Schizosaccharomyces pombe: one gene and its partner. The protein of the gene in region 2 interacts with the protein of the main gene of each other region in a biochemical or structural test. Each region holds a gene or a part of one and is shown on either strand. Other genes may lie near its edges.

Region 1 (4,704 bases), on a different chromosome or scaffold from region 2:
TACGATGGATTGATAATTCGATTTCTGGTCAAGAAGCGGAAGATCCCTTTAGCGGGTTTGATGATCTTGAGGATACAGACTCCACCTCGCAGTACTTGAACGAAAATTCAGGTAGCTTTAATGGTAGCATAAACTCAATAATCAATTTTCCAGATATGAGTGAAATATACGATGTCGGCCCAGAGTTTGAAAAAAAGCAATTTAGCGAAGATATTCAATGGCGAAAGAGAATTGATGGCTGGTTTTTTTCATTTAAAAACGATGACAGGTCACGACTATGGGAGCTTTATAATATACTTAATGCCGAACAATAAACAAGGTTTTGTCTTTACCTTGCGAATGTTTATATATAATTATACGAATGCTTTTGTTTATCGCAGATTTGATCTTTTTGTACATAGCTTAATACACTTCGAAGATTTTTCATTTTGTTTGCAAATAGATGTATAAGATGTACAACAATGATACAAATGTAATACTAATGTGACACCCAGACAAACTAGATTGTTTGAACAAGACAATACAAAGAAAATAATCAATTAAATTTGGACCGAATACATTATACCCTTAAATACCGTCTGTAATATAGAAACCATTTTTGCCATCATTATAATACTTGTAAGCGTCTTTTAACACATTATTGGGGTTGCCAAGGAGGTTGTGAGACATACCCAGAAGAGTAATTAGGATCCATATATGGATAGCCGGGATTATATGGGTTGGTAGGGGGAGGAACGGTACTAGGATTACCATGCCAGTCATTTCCTGAATCAAAATGCCTTTCACCATGGTGAATGGGTGGACCTCCCCTATATGGTTTACGACCCCGGAATCGCTCATCACGACGCATAGCAAAATCTTTTCCTCTTTTACTAATTGCCTTAGAACTTATTCCTAATCCAATTTCAATATCAGGTTCATCCAAAGCGATACCAGGAGTAATCGGAAGGCCACCCGTGCCGCCATATTCTGCAGTTACAAGCCAGGTACGATCGGCATCCGTCAACAAACGGATTGGGATAACGCTGATTCCTGTGGAAAAGTCAGAGCACTCTCGAGGTCCAAATCCTACACCCCATTTAGTACGAATAGTAGTATCAGCAAAAGGGACATTTTCCATCGCTACTTGAGCTTTCTCTGCAGCATCACGACGAAACATTTTCAAGAACCCGTGTCTGTAATTATGATTTAAAATTAAACTTTGTACAGACCCAAATCGTTCAAACATAGATCGAAGAACAGGTTCTCGCACAGAACGAGTAATACCACCAAGGAAAAGAGTACGGCTGTATACCTTAATAGAATCAGGTGGAATGGTTGGGTCACGCTCAAATCGGCGAGGAAATCCATCAGGGGTAGGTTTTGGCACACCATCTGCAGGAGGCAAAGTAGAAGGAATGGATAAATGAGAAGGACTAGGGCTACGACGAGGGCGACCACTACGAGGACTAGGGCTACGAGAACGATGTAAGGAGCCGAGTCTTAAGGATTGGGAAGAGGTAGGAGCTGGCAAAGGAACACTGCCGACACCAGCCGGCTGGAATGGAGCGTTATAGTTGGGAAAAGCAGCTTTCATGATGCTATCGATTTGTGCAGGTGGTACATTCTGAGAAGCCAATACATTCATGAGAGTGATCTGTTGACTCTGGGTATCATTGACCGATCCTGTCTTCATCCCCATGGGACCAGAGGGAATAGACTGTGGTACATTTGAAGGTTGGAATAGAGGGTTTGATAATGGATTGCCTGACTGAGACTGTGCATTAATGGCGGTAGCTGGATGAACAGGTAGGTTAGGGACGACAGCAGAAACGGATGGTGCGACGGCAGGCTGCGGTGGAGTGCTAACTGATTCTTCGGCAGCACTAGGGACGGGCGCCTTTTGAGCGAAAGCAGCCAATGCCTCTAGAATAGAAGCAGCATCGTTTTCGACAGGACGAGAAGTGGGGGCGGCTGCTTGACTACCAACAGAACCACCATTCCCCTCGGGATTAGTAGACTGTGATGGAGCAGCAGCAGAATCTACACTAACCGGTTCCGTACTTGCCATTGCATCTTTCAGCTTTGAACGAAGCGATTCTAGCTTCTCGGGAGGAAATGTTGAAGCCTTCTCCCAAATATCACAAAGCTTTAATATTTTAGGCTACATGCTTAGTTAGTTACAAATTAGTCCAATAATGTTAAAAGACTTCTCAAAGAGAATGATACTGTATTACAAGGAAAAAATACCTCTCTCATACAGTGTCTCGCTGATACAGAAGCAGAGAGAGCATACGATTATCCATACGGGATCTTATCCGTAGTCAACCTTGAAAAACTTCAGCTACACATACCAAATGAGCAGATGGCGCATGCTGTATAGCATCTGCGACCAAACTATCAGTTATTTCAGCAGCTTTGCACCAGCCGCCACTAAAAGACGCATCAACGGGATTTTCAAAAGATTCATTATTCTTTTTAGCACCGTCCTGAAAGCTACGAACGATTGAGTCTAGAATATACAAAGCTCCTAATTTATGGGTGACGGGAGCACGCTTCGCATACTTATACACACTAGCAACAAATTGCGCATTCTCTGAAACATTTTCCATCGACAAGTTAGTCAATTTCAAAATTTTTGATCCCGAGATTCCTGTCTTGGAATGTTCAAGGGAATCTAAAATACCATCGAATTCAGCGATTCCCGACATATCACAAGAAAAACGACAATGAAAAAAAAAAAAAACTTTTCAAAACTAGAAAACTACCCTGTTTCCTTTATAAGAATTTTACTACTTTTTTTCTTATATTAGTTTTTTACACGTGCTTGAAAGACGTTAAAAAAGGAAGTCACCCTGTTCTTAAATACTTTTTGTGTTATGGTTACGGTTAAGTGGTGAAGTAGGTGATGCTGGTTATAAAGCTGGTATTACGGAAGGGTAAGGAAAGTGCTTAAAGAGATGCTAAAAATTTCCAAAGTTTCACACTTTGTAAAAAAAAATATATATCATATTGTTTTAAAAAATGTATGAAAATTTTTAGTGTAAAAAAAAATAATAATAATGAGTAGCGTTTTTGTTAATTTCATGCCCATGATCCTTCTGGTAACAAGTTTGTCAGCCTCGACCACAAAATTGGGACTGCGAAGTAATCTCAGGGTTCGGGTTTATTTATGAGATTTACTATATATACAGGTACTCGTGCATTTGGTTCGGTATTCTCTCTTTGCCTTTTGGCTTAGATCAAGTGTAGTATCTGTTCTTTTCAGTTTAATCGCTGAAATCACCTCACTGAGGTGTTTCCGATTAATCTTGTTTTTGGTTTGAGTTGGAAAGCCTCTGGCTTGCTATGCTTTCCGACACTGGTGTTCTTGCTATTGCACTACTGGCAAGCGACGCCGAATCTTCTTCTGTTGACAGATTTGTGACGCATGAATTTGACAACATTGGATGGTTTAGGATGTGAGGTTTGAAAATATTTAACTTCGTACATTGATAGTGTGTGGTGAAGATAATATTGTTATCGTTGAAAGTAAGCAGTTTATTTAAATTTTTTCAGTTGCTAAACCCACTGAAAGAGAGGTTGAAGACTTGCTGATGCTATGCGTATTGAACTTTTAACACAGTGGGAAAGGTAATTAAATAATTTTATCTTTAAAATTCAGTAAGTAGTTATTAGTGGTTGGGGGTTTTGAGAATAAAAGTGAGGTAAGTAGTTAATGCTGTAAGCAATTGTGAACTGTAGAGTTGTGTTGACATTAGCATTTTTTTTCATTAATGCTTGATGATATCCTAATTTGTGGATAATATAGAAAGCATTTGACTGTTTTATGGTAGTCTAGATAGTCAATTTTTAGTGAAATGACTGAAGTCAAAGCATGTGATATACTGTATCGCATTTGATTTTGTAAACTGAGTCTAGCAATGTGCAAGGTCTCCTTTGTTATGCTTATGAAGATGGGTGTACCAAATGATATTGCTTATTAAGGAGCGTAATCATTTGCGATATGATTCAAGGTTGCTCCACCAATTCTATCTTTATTGCCATCTTTGATTCTGGCGATAATTTTTCGCTTCCACATTGCCAGACTTATATAATGACCCCCGGTATGTCTGATTGGGTTATTATCCTATAGCCACCACCGCCTTAATGAACTGAGACACATTGTATACTACTTAAAGTGGATCTCTTAGTTACGTTTGATTTAATTTTTTTAAGGTATAAACATAGACAACACAATCCTTTAATACCCATCTTCAACGGTTTGAGTGATTCATTGCTGATTAGTAAGGGGTGTATCAATCTTCATCAGCATCTACTTGTTCAATAGGTTTCAGGATATCTTTCGTTTGTTTTTCTTAGTTCTTTCAAACTTTCTTTGTTTTTTTATTCGTTTCTAGTCGATTAAAAACTTTAAAAAAATGTCTTCTGCATCCATGTTCGGGAGTCTTAAAACCAATGCTGTGGACGAATCCCAGTTGAAGGCTAGAATTGGAGTTTTAGCTCTCCAAGGAGCATTTATTGAACACATTAATATAATGAATTCCATTGATGGAGTAATTTCTTTTCCTGTTAAAACTGCTAAGGATTGCGAAAATATTGATGGCTTAATTATCCCAGGAGGTGAGTCTACTACCATTGGCAAATTAATCAACATTGATGAGAAGCTTCGTGATCGTTTGGAGCACTTGGTTGATCAAGGACTTCCTATTTGGGGAACGTGTG
Region 2 (3,015 bases):
GGAAATAAGCCCCCATTATTTCAAGCCAGAAAATATAGAAGAATTGCAAAAGACGCAAAAACGACATAAGCGGTAAAAGAGTGGAAAAGGAAAATTAGTTTTAAAGGCGATTTGGTTGTATATAATCATAATGAATTTATGTTTCACAATAATGGACAAACTTTTAAAAGATCTCATTTAGTTAGCTTCAAAAAGACGTACAGTTTTGTTTAAGTCATCATGTTGTATATTAATTACTTTTAATACTAAAAAACATTTTATCGTTTTTGAAAAGGCCCGAAATGCTCATGACTTTTCAAGCTTAACAAATCCAAGCAAAAAATCTAATGCAGGTAGGTCTTTTGTAACCCTCACTAAACGATTACCGAGTGTTGCATGCTCGGTTACATTCAATGCTTAGTACAAAAAGATTACGGGTCCTGGAGCTATATTCTGGTATTGGAGGTATGCACTATGCATTGAACCTGGCAAATATACCGGCTGATATTGTGTGTGCAATAGATATCAACCCACAGGCAAATGAAATTTATAACCTCAATCATGGAAAACTTGCTAAACACGTATGTTTCAAGGATTTACTCGATAACTATATTAATACTTATAGATGGATATTTCAACTTTAACGGCCAAGGATTTTGATGCATTTGACTGTAAATTATGGACTATGAGTCCCAGTTGTCAACCTTTTACTAGAATAGGAAACCGTAAAGATATTCTTGATCCTCGTTCCCAAGCATTTCTAAATATTTTAAATGTGCTTCCTCATGTAAATAATTTGCCTGAGTACATTCTAATTGAGAATGTTCAGGGTTTTGAGGAGAGCAAGGCAGCTGAAGAGTGCAGGAAAGTTTTGAGGAATTGTGGTTACAACCTAATTGAAGGTATTTTGAGTCCAAACCAGTTCAACATTCCTAATTCTCGCAGTAGATGGTATGGATTGGCTAGGCTCAATTTCAAAGGAGAATGGAGTATTGATGATGTTTTTCAATTTAGCGAGGTAGCGCAAAAAGAAGGCGAAGTAAAAAGAATAAGAGATTATTTGGAGATAGAAAGAGATTGGTCTTCATATATGGTACTAGAGTCTGTGTTAAATAAATGGGGCCATCAGTTTGATATAGTTAAGCCAGATAGCTCTTCCTGCTGTTGCTTTACACGGGGATATACACATTTAGTACAAGGTGCAGGCTCAATTTTGCAGATGTCAGATCATGAAAATACGCACGAGCAATTTGAGAGGAACCGGATGGCTTTACAACTTCGGTATTTTACCGCCAGAGAAGTCGCCAGGTTAATGGGATTCCCGGAAAGCCTCGAATGGTCAAAGTCTAATGTAACCGAAAAATGTATGTATCGCTTATTAGGAAATAGTATAAACGTTAAAGTTGTTTCATACTTGATTTCTCTATTACTGGAACCTCTAAATTTCTAAAAGCGGTTAGAAGTCAAAACTATTTTTTTAAAATGAAAGGAAAATTAATATTACTCGATAAAAGTTCTGCAAAAAAAGGCACTTATTTCAATTGGAATTACCCTTTAATGCATACAGTGTTTCTGAATGCTTTATATAACTAATTACCAGGACTAATTTCAAGACAAAGAAATCGTATATTTATACACTAAAAATTGGAGAACTCGGGGAATACATTATTTTTGAGCTATTGTATTTATCCTCACACGTACACATAATTGTTATGAAATATAAATTAAACAATCTAGTTATTTATCGATTTAAATTTAAAATTATGTATCCAGCCCTTTATTCTTTTGCTAGATTTAATAAAGGTTAAATTTAAAAGAACGTCAAAATTAGATACGAAATTATATTTGAAGTTTATATATCCAATAAATGGAAATGTACTTGAAGTACTTTAAATGAGAACTTTTAACTCATTAATGTATTATAAGATTAGCTTCCCAATTTTTTTTGAAGCGTTAATATTGAGAATAGTATGGTAGTAAAAATTTGCGCGCTACTACTCACCACCACAATTAGAAAGTTCAAGTGAGGAAGTAAAATCACAGGATTTAACTAGACTCAAATACACTAAAAAAGTTTACAAAATGAATCATCCAACCTCCACTGGCGGTACCGCTTTCAATCCCCCCAGACCAGCCACTATGATTTATTTATGTGCGGGTATGATCATTGAGTAGAATTAAATGAGTATATGATAAAAGACTGACCATCAGATTGCGGAGCGCGTAATACAATCCAAGCGAAAGAAGTTATTCGTTGTCGAGAGTGTGGGCATCGTGTTATGTACAAAATGAGAACCAAGAGAATGGTTCAGTTCGAAGCACGCTAAGTTTTAGAGTTTTCAGACTATGAAAAGAGAAAAACGGAATTATAACTTTTAAAATTTGAGAAATGGCTTAAAAATGGTGTAATATGCAGGTCCTTATGCTTAATTCGAGAAATTAGAAGGTCCTGGGGTTAAATGGATAACCCATGACAATAATAACATTTTGGATATTTGATGCATTAAAAACTGTGAATTGTACATGATGAGTATATCTAAAATTTTTTTTAGTAAATTATAAGTCATTTGGCGACGGTTTGAAAGTGCCATGTGTACTTTAACCATGCCTATAAAAAATCGTCCACTTGAAAATCTTAAAGTCAAGAAAACCGATTTTATGGACAGATACGGTGGATACATACATACATATATTTTCATACACAAGTTTTGCAAAATATTAGTATTGAATGCTTTAGCTACAAAACAACAGGTTATAATTTGAAGCTTTCAACAGTTTATAAAGGGTGACATCAGTCGGAATCATTAGGAGAAATATCAAGAATTTTTTATTAAGGTACAAAAACGTATACGATTAACTAGCATATATGCGCTAATCAAGCGCAAGAGGAGATTCCATTTCGTAAAACAAAAGACAAGCTGAACGAGTTTGACTGAGAGCTTCATTGAGAGATGATTTAGTAATTAAAGAATCATTAGCCTTCCACCAAATGTCATCTTGAAGTCTATAGCAAAGATAATGACCATAAGTAACACT

The links. Proteins that work in one complex are often made in the same cells at the same time.
Region 1: the proteins of rpc10 (region 2) and seb1 form a complex in vitro, tested with the Schizosaccharomyces pombe proteins (one study listed by BioGRID).

What each region holds. Positions count from the first base shown.
Region 1 is NC_003424.3:958,047-962,750, reverse strand, and holds seb1 (poly(A)site selection protein Seb1), read right to left. Parts: upstream 2,867-4,704; 5' UTR 2,691-2,866; coding exon 2,334-2,690; intron 2,144-2,333; coding exon 638-2,143; 3' UTR 524-637; downstream 1-523. Other genes in the region: two-component GAP Byr4, read left to right, coding at 1-314; sno1 (glutamine aminotransferase subunit), read left to right, coding at 4,401-4,704. UniProt on the Schizosaccharomyces pombe protein: Involved in the processing of pol II transcripts.
Region 2 is NC_003423.3:1,673,674-1,676,688, forward strand, and holds rpc10 (DNA-directed RNA polymerase subunit Rpc10), read left to right. Parts: upstream 1-1,965; 5' UTR 1,966-2,061; coding exon 2,062-2,137; exon of another isoform or gene 2,138-2,190; coding exon 2,191-2,306; 3' UTR 2,307-2,515; downstream 2,516-3,015. Other genes in the region: ATP-dependent RNA helicase Cdc28, read left to right, coding at 1-76; pmt1 (DNA methyltransferase), read left to right, coding at 393-560, 605-1,429; ubiquitin hydrolase Ubp11, read right to left, coding at 2,851-3,015. UniProt on the Schizosaccharomyces pombe protein: DNA-dependent RNA polymerase catalyzes the transcription of DNA into RNA using the four ribonucleoside triphosphates as substrates.